Ovis aries: one gene and its partners. The protein of the gene in region 1 binds, or shares a complex with, the protein of each later gene. Links are inferred from orthologs where the notes say so. Each region holds a gene or a part of one and is shown in the gene's direction. Other genes may lie near its edges.

The links.
Region 2: the proteins of FBLIM1 (region 1) and FLNA are in contact, whole or in part, in a crystal structure (PDB 4P3W), measured with the Homo sapiens proteins. The link is inferred for Ovis aries from reciprocal best matches to the Homo sapiens genes FBLIM1 and FLNA. Residues at the interface, in NP_001337080.1 of Homo sapiens: Lys7, Arg8, Val9, Ala10, Ser11, Ser12, Val13, Phe14, Ile15, Thr16, Leu17, Ala18, Pro19, Pro20; in NP_001104026.1 of Homo sapiens: Met2207, Gly2208, Thr2263, Arg2264, Gly2267, Ala2268, Gly2269, Gly2270, Leu2271, Ala2272, Ile2273, Ala2274, Val2275, Glu2276, Gly2277, Pro2278, Ser2279, Lys2280, Ala2281, Ile2283, Phe2285, Cys2293, Glu2306, Phe2311.
Region 3: the proteins of FBLIM1 (region 1) and FLNC are in contact, whole or in part, in an NMR structure (PDB 2K9U), measured with the Homo sapiens proteins. The link is inferred for Ovis aries from reciprocal best matches to the Homo sapiens genes FBLIM1 and FLNC. Residues at the interface, in NP_001337080.1 of Homo sapiens: Arg8, Val9, Ala10, Ser11, Ser12, Val13, Phe14, Ile15, Thr16, Leu17, Pro19; in NP_001449.3 of Homo sapiens: Thr2339, Ala2344, Gly2345, Gly2346, Leu2347, Ser2348, Ile2349, Ala2350, Val2351, Glu2352, Gly2353, Pro2354, Ser2355, Lys2356, Ile2359, Phe2361, Asp2380, Glu2382, Phe2387.

The regions. Positions count from the first base shown.
Region 1 is NC_056065.1:51,111,643-51,115,545, reverse strand, and holds the start of FBLIM1 (filamin-binding LIM protein 1), read left to right. Parts: upstream 1-892; 5' UTR 893-1,945; coding exon 1,946-2,109; intron 2,110-2,403; exon of another isoform or gene 2,404-2,615; intron 2,616-2,685; exon of another isoform or gene 2,686-3,440; intron 3,441-3,903. UniProt on the Homo sapiens protein: Serves as an anchoring site for cell-ECM adhesion proteins and filamin-containing actin filaments. Is implicated in cell shape modulation (spreading) and motility.
Region 2 is NC_056080.1:80,076,533-80,080,435, forward strand, and holds the start of FLNA (filamin-A), read left to right. Parts: upstream 1-1,306; 5' UTR 1,307-1,421; intron 1,422-3,903. UniProt on the Homo sapiens protein: Promotes orthogonal branching of actin filaments and links actin filaments to membrane glycoproteins. Anchors various transmembrane proteins to the actin cytoskeleton and serves as a scaffold for a wide range of cytoplasmic signaling proteins.
Region 3 is NC_056057.1:94,508,585-94,512,387, forward strand, and holds part of FLNC (filamin-C), read left to right. Parts: coding exon 1-107; intron 108-324; coding exon 325-415; intron 416-521; coding exon 522-691; intron 692-885; coding exon 886-1,003; intron 1,004-1,097; coding exon 1,098-1,360; intron 1,361-1,958; coding exon 1,959-2,556; intron 2,557-3,171; coding exon 3,172-3,345; intron 3,346-3,456; coding exon 3,457-3,619; intron 3,620-3,803.

The DNA.
Region 1 (3,903 bases):
CTCAGGGATCAAACCCAGGTCTCCCACGTTGCAGGCAGATTCTTTACCGTCTGGGCCACTGGGGAAGCCCCTGTGGATACCAGGACTGGTGACACCTGACTTGATTCTCGTGGGCTCCGTGACTCGAGCTGAGCACACAGCAGGTGCTCAACTGCTCTTTGGGTAGGAGGTTCCCCAGCAGACTGGACAGCGGCAAATGTCCCCACTGCCCTAAATCTTACTCTCCAGCCTCTCACCCACGTTCCCTGCCATGCAGGGTCTCAGCTTGTTGTTCAGGCTCTCAGTCATTTCTGATTCTTTGTGACTCCATGGACTGCAGCACACCAGGCTTCCCTGTCCTTCACCATCTAGAGTTTGCTCAGACTCATGTCCGTTGAGTCGGTAATGCCATCCAATCATCTTATCCTCTGTTGTCCCCTTCTCCTTTTGCCCCCAGTCTTTCCCAACGTCAGGATCTTTTCCAATGAGTCAGCCCTCTGCATCAAGTGGCCAAAGTATTGGAGCTTCAGCATCAGTCCTCCCAATGAATATAGTCCTTCTATAGGGTCTCGGCTGCTGCAAACCTAACAGATCGAATCTTTTTGCTCAGTGGCTTAGGAGAAAGCTGTTCCAGGCTGGCAGGACAGGAGGAGGGGAGCAGAGCCTCTAAGCTGGCAGACAAAGGGCGTGTGTTCTTATCCAGTGCACTTCCTGGGTTTCCATTGCAGGAAGCCGGGCACCTGCCGAGGTGACACAGACACCAAGGCTGGCGCTAGACTCCCTTGTCCGGGACGCTCCTCTCCCCCCGGGAGCAGCAGCAGAGGTGGGAAAGAGGTGCTGGACAGTTGGTAAGTGGCAGCAGCTGGACTCCACATTCCCCTTGGACCTGCCCTCTTCCAAGCCAGTCTTAGCTTAGCAGCAGGGAAGGCTTAGATCCTGCTTGGAGTCAGTGAGACCTTAGGCCCCACATCAACCTCACTGTCCCACCTGGAGGTGTGGTAGGTGCTTAGGGGAGGTATCATGGAGGTGAGGGGAAGGTAGCAACATTTTTATTTGCTTTAAATAAGCTTCTGAGTCACAATGCACTTTAAAAGGGAGTTCTATGGCTAAAAGGGTCTGAAAACCCCTGGATCAAACCTTCTTCCTTAGGGTCCTTCCCATGGCTGGCATCCAGTGGATTTTTCCTTCCTCCTGGGGAAGGTATAGAGATCTTGTTCCAAGGGGTGCTTGCAAAGGGAGGTAACCTTGTCAAGCAGGGGAATGACCCTGACCACGGGCTCAGGCAGCCTTGAGTGCGAGTCTCTCTCTGCTGAAAAGAGAGGGAGTCACCTGTCTTTGCAGCTTGAAGGGTGGCAGTCTCGCCAGCCGCTGGGACCTGCAGGGTGGCGTGTGTACCCAGGGGCACCTGCTGCTGTGGGTTGGAATCCAGCTCTGCCATTTGCCTCTTGTGTCGGCTTTGAGCCTCTCTGTGCCTCAGTTTCCTCATCTGTGAAGCAGGAATAATCAGCCTTTTCCCATAGGGCTCTCCCGGGAATTAAATGGAAAGGTCTGCAGGCCGAGCATCAGATAGGAAGCCCCTATGAACAGCAGCTACTGTTACTACTGTCGTTATTACAGGACTGGCTGTGAGGATGGAAAGGAAAAAGGGATGCAGAGCAGGATGGGAGAGGTGACCAAACACGAGTGAGGGATTTAGGGAGGCAGGGTGGGGGAGGAAGAGAAGCACAGGACAGGGTGTTCAGCGCCCCCCACCAGCCCCCAGAAGCATGACCCCCAAGAACAGCCCCAGAGCCCTCCAGCCAGCAGCGTGACTGCAGCTTTGGGCCCACAGAGGAGAGCCAGACCCTACCTGGCCTCCCTGCAGACGGTGCCGGCCCCAGCACTCCCCTGGCCTCCGCCACTGTGGCTTTAATCAAAAGAGCAATCTGTTTGCCTCTGAATCAGACCCAGATTCCTTTTCCCAGCAATGTTCCCTGGGCCTCCAGGGACTCAGGCGGCCCATCCAGGCTCCATCTCCTGCCCCAGAGCCCAGGCTGGGCTTCTCCCTCCCCATTCCACGTTTGGGGGACAGAGGAGCAGGAGGCTGGAGCAGTGGAGGGGTCAGATGCCGGGTCCAGCGTGGCAAACCGGGTAATCTGATTGCCAGCGAGGCCCTGTCTACCAGGCTTCCCGGAGGACCCTGTCCCCCCAGGACTCTGGGGACCCACCTGCAGAAGGCGTTAGGGGCCAGACAGGTCATTAGCCCCATTTTAGAGGCGAAGAAACTGAGGCTCAAGAAGGTGGAATGAATGCCTAGTGTCACAGGATTAGTGAGCGTCCGGGGAATCCAGGTCCCACCCGATCCTTAAGACCGTGGGAGATCCCAGGCCAAACTGGTGGGGCCACCACCCCAGGCGACCTCGGGGAGGGGGTTGGGGGAGGAGCACTCTGGGTTCACAAAGGACGAGGAGAGTGGGCACCCGAGGAGGCCGCCCACCCTCCAGGCCTGGGCCCAGGGGAAGGGAGGAGGGGTCGAGGGAACAAAGGGAACGGGGAGGGGGCGGCGCGGGGCGCGGCCGGCAGGTGGGGGGGCAGGTAGGGGCCGCTTCCGCCCGGCCGCGAGCCCGGGCCCCCTCCCCCAAGCTTCACCTTTTATGGTAAGGCGGCCGCGGCGGCGGGGCGGAGGGAGCCGAGGGGGCGGGGAGGGCGGAGGGGGCGGGAGGCGCCGCGCCGCTCCTGGCTCTGCTCGATCGGGTGACCGACCGGAGCCGCAGGGGGCGCGGGCGGCTCAGGTAAGCGGAGCGGGGGGGGGGGGGGGGGTCCCGTCCTGCCGTCCGCGCCCCCGGCTACACACAGGTGACAGCGCGGGCAGCCCCTGGCCGGCGCGCAGCCCTGCTCCCCGGCCCGGACCCCAACTCCGGCGCTCCCAGGGGGGCCCGCGGGGCTGGGGGCCGGGGGTGCGGGTCTCTGCTCCCCGGGCGGAGGGAGGGCGGGTCTGGAGGCAGCGCGGACGTCCCTGCCGCGGAGCGGCTCGCGGAGAGAAGCGGTAGAAGCAGGGCGGGAGCTCCCGCACAAAGAGGACAGCGTCCCGCACACGGATCGAACTAAAGTCCCCGGCGGCGCCCCACCGTGACCCTGCCAGCCGCCCCGCCTGGCTGCTTGCGGGAGGGCGCCGGGCTTCCCAAGGCCCTGGAAGCTCCGGGCCTCTTGCCCCAGCCGGGGTTAGGCGAGGGGCAGGAGGGGCCGCGGAACTGCCCCTCTCTGGGCCTCATATCCTCTGGGGGGGGGGTTGGTGCTGGGAAGGGGTGGGGCTGAGCTATTCCCAGGGTATGTGCCTGGGGCGCCCTGCCCTGAGTCCTCCTCCAGCCCAGAATCTGAGGACCCCGCGGAGAGACTGGGCAGCGCCCGGATCCCTGTTCTTCTCATTGATGGAAGCCAACTCCTGGTCTTCTCAGGGCCCCGGGGGTTCCGCCTCTCCTGAGGTACTGAGTAACTATCCGCTTTCTCTTGGCACCTACCCAGTACCAAGATCTTGAGCACCCCCTCTTCTTTTATGCTCTCAGCCACCCTTCCAAAAAGACCTCATTATTTCCACTCTTTGAAATAACAGAGGCCCAGAGAGGTTCAGTGACCTGCTTAGGGTGGCCCAGCAGGAAAGAGGTGGGGTTGGGGATGAACTCAGCCCTATGGGCCTCCTCCACTTCCCTGGGGTGGGAGAGAGGGAGAGGCCTTTCTGTCCCAGGCTCCAAGGCCAGGAGAGGGGGCTCAGTTTCACTCCCCCTGCCTGCAGTTTAACTCCCAACCAAGCCTAGGCTGCTTTCTCGGAGTACTGAAGAGCACAGCTTAGAGGAGGTCCCACAGGGTTTGAGAAGAGTAGGACCAGGGACAGAGGGCATGGTGGGGGACCACCCCCATCCTTGGAGGCCCTCCTGGTCAGCCAGCCCT
Region 2 (3,903 bases), on another chromosome or scaffold:
CACTGCTAGGCGATCTCACCTGGGGTCAAGGTGGAGAGGTCATTGCCAACAAAGGCAGCAGTGGCTGCGGAGAGGCCTGGAGGGCAATCAGTGCCTTCCTGTTAGTGTGCAGCTGTAGATATCAAACTACGTTAGCAGGTGACAGCAGACTTCTCCTTTCTTCCCCCCTGTTCCTTCCTGCTTCTCCCCTTTTGCCTCCCTCCCTCCCTTCTTTTTGGAGAAGGAAATGGCAACCCACTCCAGTGTTCTTGCCTGGAGAATCCCAGGGACGGCGGAGCCTGGTGGGCTGCTGTCTATGGGGTCACACAGAATCAGACACGACTGAAGCGACTTAGCAGCAGCAGCAGCTCCCTTCTTTGCTTTTTCTCCTTTAATGAAGTAGAATAAAAGAAGAAAGATCAGAGTGCTTTTCAGGTGGTAAGGGACAGTCTCACTTCGTGGAACGTTTATTTCAGCCATTTGTGTCGATCTGCGTGTGTGCCTGCAAATATTGGCTCAGGATGTAAGATGCAGTTCTTTGTGGGGGTTGTGGGCACAGTGAGAAGACACTGCTTTGTGTGGCTTTCCCCGAGGAAGTGACATTTGAGCTGAATACGACGCTGTTAATACCAGGAAATGGGCACACAGAAGACGAAGAGGGAGCCTGGCAGTGCCAGGGTGTGGCTGTGCCCACCTAGTTCCCCAGACGCTTGGCTCCTCGGCTGCACCCCACTGTCCATGCCCAGGCCTCAGGACTGCAGCTAACTGTGCTGCTGAGAATTCAGTCCACTTCTGTTGCTTGCTTCCAGGCCAGGCCTGGCACTGGGCAGGGGCCAAACCCATGCCAGCCCGGGATGTTGTTTGGCTTGTCTTGGGGCTCAGGTCCCTGCCCCCGTGCAGACTTTCAGGTGGGAGGCTCTCAGTGCATACCTGCTAGAGCCTGTTGCACTTCCCCCTCCAAGGTAGAATCCAACTAGTCCGACCAGCCCCAGGCTTGGGGTAAAGGTAGGGGGGCGGCGCAAGACTGGGCAGCTCCCTGGAGGAGGTGGCCTTCGTTGCTGGGCCGAGACGCAGGCTCTGCAGACCCTCCGGGCCGCCCCTCCCCGTCAGCAGAGGGTGAGCTCATCTCAACGGGGGTAGGGGGGCGTCGCCGGCTGCCCAGGCGCCTGAGCTCACGGCGCGCCCCCGCGGGGCCCCCCCTCGAAACCCCCCCCCCGCCCCGCTCCTGGGTGATTTTTACCAATTAAGGCTTTCTCGTCGGGCCGAGTCGGGCCGGGTGCGGGGCGGGGGTGCGGCCAACAAGAAGGCGGGCGGCAGCGGCCCATTCGCGTGGAGGCGCCCGGCGCGCAGCAGACGCCAGCAGAGCCCCGAGGCGCCAGGCGCGGGCTCGAAGATCTGCCAGGCGCCACCCCGCGGCCGCCGGCCGCCCGCAGGGAGAGAAGGTGAGGCGTCCGCGGCGGGCACCGGGCGGAGCGGTTGGCGGGCACCGAGCAGAGTGGTCGGCGGGCAGCTCACGGAGTTGGTGGTGGGGTGCCCGGGGCCAGCTGCAAGCCGGGGTGTGGTGGTGCAGCCGCCTTCCCTGGTTTCCTGGGGAATCTGGGTCTGGCCCCGCAGTGTGAGAGCCCAACAGCCATGGGGGTGCCCTGGGAGGGTGAACTGGGGGGCAGGTCATTGCATGACTGTCCAGGAAGGCAGGGCTCTGAAGCAGGACGTTGTGTGGGGTCAGGGCGAGAGGCCACCTGGAAAGACACTTTGCAGCCAATATGCCCCCAGGAGGGATGTCGACGGTCGGTTCCTCCCTGACATCAGTGCTCTGGGCATTGGCTGCGTTGGGTAGAGGTGTGGGGCTGGCTTCTGGGCTGCTGCGCTCCACTGGGGCGAGGGCACATGGGGTTGGCCATGCTAGATTCGAGGCTGGGCCCTGTCCCAGGTTGGCTCTGAGCTGGATGTTCACTGCCAGGCAGGATGTGAAGGCCAGCCCCCCACCCCCACCCACCCCAATTCCTGGGCCAGGAGGAGTAGGTGACGGCCGCTGGGAGACCCACCTGCACGGGCTCCTAGCAGCGCAGTCAAGGTGGGAATTCAGCCCTGGAGCGTTGTCAGCCTGCCTGCCACACCTGGGCTTGGGCAGCCTCTCCTGCCACCCTGTGCCTCTCTTTCACCAGCCGTGGGAGGGCCTGGCTTGGGGTCTGAGGGAAGGAGTTGGGGTGGGAGGCGGGGTGTGTCTAACAACATCCAAGAAATCGACTCCAAATAAGGGAAAATATGAAAGAGCTGTATTTCAGCTTCCAGGGACTGCCCTATCTGGGGGCTTTGGGATGGGGCGCCACCTGGTGGTGATACTATGTCCCCTGGGGACAAGAACTCGTTAGAGCCCCATCTCTTATCACCCCCCAAATAGGGAAGAAGCCTAAGGCTGGCAGCCAGGGCTTCTGTCCCCCTTTCTGCTGGAGTTGGCTGCTGGTTACTGACGCTGACTCAGTTTCCCTGCTCTCTGCAGATTAAGAAAAGAACACAGATAATGCAACTGGATGGCACTTGTCAAGTGACAATGAACTCTCAGTATGATTCTCTCCTTGGGGGACTGGCTCTTCAGGGGGGCAGGGGATCAGAAGGATGGCTCTCATCTCTGCTTGGGTGGGGCCTGCTAGGGAGGAGTCTGCACGGGTCCCCCTCTACTGCTGTCACTCCCACCTCCATCCCAGTCCCCAGACACCATGGTGTGGAATTTTGCGCAGGTGTGTCTAAAGTGGTCAGGCCTTTAGACTGAAAAATGTCACTGGTGAGCAAAAACCAGTGTGGGGTACCAGGCAGCCCCAAAGAGAGCATGCTGGAGGCCAGGTGCTGACTGCAGCCCCACTGTGGGTGACACAGTCCCCAGGGCTGTGAGAGTTGGCCTTATTTGGGCATGCTGACCTAGGGGCTTCTTTCCCACTGGTCTTTAGCAGAGAACTGAGGTACTGCTAGTAGGAAGCTCGATCTAAGTACGAAGCAGGAGGGACAGAGACATGCCTTTCTGGGGGAAAAAAAAAAAAAGATGTGAAGAAGGGAACATCCTGCAGAGGGGAAGGACACAGGACCGAGGGAAGTGAGTCCACTCTGGGGACGAAGCCACCAGTAGGCTGGCTTCTCCAGACTGAAGAAGGTGGCAGTGACTGTCCCTGACAGGCCTCTTGCTTCTGTGCCTTTGTTGGTCTTAGTATCCCCCCCATAGTCTCCAGTTATCTACAAGAAAATGTATTTTGAGCGAATAGGTCCCCAGTACCCAGTCCTGGCTCCACGGCAGGCCCCAGCTGCCTTTCATGGTTTGCCCCCCCTCAGTCCCCTGGCCCCCCTGTCCGGGAGGCCTCCTCTGTTCTCCCACGACCCCGAAGCCCACTGAGACCCAGGTGCTCAGAGTGCATTATCGGAAGCCCGGGGCAGGTCCCTCTGGCAGCCTCCTGGGTCACGCTGGGCTCAGGGGCCATCCCAGCCACGGAGGGGAAGCCCCTCGCGCCTCTGGTAGACTGCCGGTGGGTGAGGCAGGCTTACCCGCCATCTCTGCATGCATCGCATCACAGGGCACCCCGTGCCAGTGCCCATTGGCATGCCCAGGCCCCTTCCAAGGCTGCTGGCTCCTGGAGCGCCGGTGGCCTCCTGGCCCAGTGCCCCATTTCCTCTGGGGTGCAGGGGGGAGGGAGGGAGGCGGTTGGGACCGGCGGGCGCAGGCCAGGATCCTGCAGAGCGGGAAGGCTTGCTGGGGCAGGGGTTCTGGGGTTCTGGGGTTCTGGGGGTCTGGGGGGCGGCTTAGGGTCGTGCGGCTACGGCCTTCCCTGGCGTGGCGCACGCACGCCCGGCGCGGGCAGCAGAGCCTTCTCCAGACCCGCGCTCTCCAAGGGCTCGCCCCTTCGGATCGGGCCCTTTCTCTCGGCTGCCGGCGAGGCG
Region 3 (3,803 bases), on another chromosome or scaffold:
CTGACATTGACTTTGACATCATTAAGAATGACAACGACACCTTCACAGTCAAGTACACACCTCCAGGGGCGGGCCGCTACACTATCATGGTGCTGTTTGCCAACCAGGTACCCTGTGCGTGGGTTTTGGTTATCAACCCTAACCTCAGCCCCTTACCCCATCCCAACCAGCAGCTTGAGAGGCTGTCATTTGGGGACAATTCTACTGCCCCTGATTGAGCACTTCCTGTGTGTGGACAACGTGCCTCAGAGGAAGCAAAAGAGACAAGGGACTCGATTCAGACACTGTCCATGTCCACCCTGACCAAGCCTTTTCTCCCTCCAGGAGATCCCCGCCAGCCCCTTCCACATCAAGGTGGACCCATCCCACGATGCCAGCAAGGTCAAGGCAGAGGGTCCTGGGCTGAACCGCACAGGTAGCTATCTGGGCTGTGCGGGGCTGGGCCGGGCCGGGCTGGGCTGGGCCGGGCTGGGCTGGATGGCCACCAATCCCTCACCACCATCTCGGGATGGGTGCTCCAGGTGTGGAAGTTGGGAAGCCCACTCACTTCACGGTGCTGACCAAGGGAGCTGGCAAGGCCAAGCTGGACGTGCACTTTGCCGGGGCCGCCAAGGGAGAAGCTGTGCGAGACTTCGAGATCATCGACAACCATGACTACTCCTACACCGTCAAGTACACGGCCGTGCAGCAGGTGTGCCCCGCCCCCCGGCCCTCCTGTCCTGGCTGACTGGGAGCGTGGAGCTCCTTCTTCCAGTCCCAGAGGGCCTGTTTGGGGTCTTGGCCCATTTCCTGCCTCCCCATCCTCTCTTGCCCTGGGTCTCTGAGCCTCTGGTCTGTGTCGCCGAGGACATGTTGGCAGTTCTGACGTCCTGCTGTACCCATTAGGGCAACATGGCGGTGACAGTGACCTATGGTGGAGACCCTGTCCCCAAGAGCCCCTTCGTGGTGAATGTGGCACCGCCGCTGGACCTCAGCAAAGTCAAGGTTCAAGGCCTCAACAGCAGTAAGTGGGGCAGGAGCTGCCCATGCAGTGAGGAGGGTTGAGGGGGGTGGTGGGTTGGAATCTCTGCTCACCGTGTCCCTCACCCTTCACACAGAGGTGGCTGTGGGGCAGGAACAGTCATTTTCTGTGAACACACGAGGGGCTGGCGGTCAGGGCCAGCTGGACGTGCGGATGACCTCTCCCTCCCGACGACCCATCCCCTGCAAGCTGGAGCCTGGCGGTGGAGCTGAGACCCAGGCGGTGCGGTACATGCCCCCTGAGGAGGGGCCCTACAAAGTGGACATCACCTATGATGGTCACCCAGTGCCTGGCAGCCCCTTCACCGTGGAGGGCGTCCTGCCCCCTGACCCCTCCAAGGTGAGGAAGTAGGGGTGGGTGGGAGCTGGGGGCTTGTAGGGAAGGTGGGTAGTTCACAGGGGCCGAGGCCAGAGGCCTCATGTCCTGGGGTGAGCACAGCCAAGGGCCCAGAGCCGAGGCAGTCCCCCAACTCAGGACTTGCCTATGAGACAGCTTAGTTTTTGTTTTTTATATTTTTATTAAAGTATAGTTGGTTTACAATGTTGTATTACTGCTGTACAGCAATGTGATTCGGTTATATATGCATACAAATGCATACATTACAAAATATTCTTTTCCATTATAGTTTATCACAGGATATTGAATATAGCTCTCTGTGCCATACAGTAGGACCTTGTTTATCTATTCCATATATAAAAACTCATATCAAGACAGCTTAGTTATTTAGAACCTGGCCTTGGATCTGATCTGGGCTTCAATCCCAAGTCCATCAGCCAGGACAAAGGTTTTAATCTCCCTGCGTTTCCTCACCTGGAATTGTAATCAGGACTCAGCCTGTGGGAGCTGCTATAGTTGCGAGTGCTTAGCTGATTTGGGAACCACGAAGGCTGGACGTGGGAACAGTCGAGGTAACCCACACACCTGCTCCTTCTTTTAGGTCTGTGCTTACGGCCCTGGTCTCAAGGGCGGGCTGGTAGGTACACCAGCTCCCTTCTCCATCGACACCAAGGGAGCGGGCACCGGTGGCCTGGGGTTGACCGTGGAGGGCCCCTGCGAGGCCAAGATCGAGTGCCAGGACAATGGGGATGGATCCTGTGCCGTCAGCTACCTGCCCACAGAGCCGGGCGAGTACACTATCAACATCCTGTTTGCCGAAGCCCACATCCCCGGCTCGCCCTTCAAGGCTACCATCCGGCCCGTGTTTGACCCGAGCAAGGTGCGGGCCAGCGGGCCAGGCCTGGAGCGCGGCAAGGCTGGGGAGGCGGCCACCTTCACTGTGGACTGCTCGGAGGCGGGCGAGGCCGAGCTGACCATTGAGATCCTGTCGGACGCCGGCGTCAAGGCCGAGGTGCTGATCCACAACAACGCGGACGGCACCTACCACATCACCTACAGCCCCGCCTTCCCCGGCACCTACACCATTACCATCAAGTACGGCGGGCACCCTGTACCCAAGTTCCCCACCCGCGTTCACGTGCAGCCCGCGGTCGACACCAGCGGGGTCAAGGTCTCAGGGCCCGGTGTGGAGCCGCATGGTGAGTGGGAGAAACCTGGAGCTGGTCACGTCACCGGTCAGGGGAAGAGGGAAGCAGGGCTGAGGGCTTAGAGGGCAGCGCTGGCGTCCCGGGGGCTCAGACACCCCTGAGAAGGTATCAAAGCCAAGGGCAGGGTGTGGGGCTTTGCCTTGGTCTGGGTGGCAAGGTTGCTTCTGCCTGTGGCCATTTTCCTCGGGAGATCCTCAACTTTCATCAGCCGATCTGAAAATCAAAGAATCTTGCACTTGATGGTACAGAGGGAAGGCTTTGGGGTCGAGGGCGACGAGAGTCAGGAGATGGTTCAGCTCAGTTCAGTGACTGAGTTACCATCTGCTGGGGGCCAGACCCTGGGCCAGGCAGGAGGGGGCATGCAGAGGGTTGCAAGAGCCAGCCCCATGCTCCAGGGGCCCACAGCTGGGTGGGGAGACTCAGGTGAGCAGAATGTCACTATCTGCTGAAGGGAGGGAGGACAGGGGCTGTGGGAGGCAGGGCCTGGGCTGTGGGGATGGTCCAGGCTGGGGAGTAGCAGGTGGAGAGGAGCCGCCTCGGAGCTGGGGAGGGAGGGCAGGGGTGGGCAGCCGGGTGAGGGCTGAGCACTCGTCTCCTGGGACCCAGGTGTCCTGCGTGAAGTGACCACCGAGTTCACTGTGGACGCGAGATCCCTGACAGCCACGGGTGGGAACCACGTGACGGCTCGCGTGCTCAACCCCTCGGGCGCTAAGACGGACACCTACGTGACCGACAACGGGGACGGCACCTACCGCGTGCAGTACACGGCCTACGAAGAGGGTGAGGGGCTTGGCTGGGCGGGGATGGCGGGGGTCTGGCCCCAGCGTTTTCAGAGGGGCGGGTGGTGGGGGCCGCGCACACTCTGACCTGCGCCGTGCGGCTGACTTCCAGGAGCACACTTGGTGGAGGTGCTGTACGATGACGTGGCAGTGCCCAAGAGCCCCTTCCGGGTGGGCGTGACTGAGGGCTGTGACCCCACCCGTGTCCGGGCCTTTGGGCCAGGCCTGGAGGGGGGCTTGGTCAACAAGGCTAACCGCTTCACCGTGGAAACCAGGTACGCCTGCCCCTTTCATAACCTTGACCCTGATGCTGTGGTTACACTGAGCCCAGCCACCTGCCCTCCCCCCTCATCCTCCTGTGTGTACCTCATCCCCACCCACCCTGTCAAGGCTGCAAACCTCCCCGCTGTAGCTGCTGGTCCCTTCTCAACTGGCCCTGCACCCCCATTCACCTGCTTG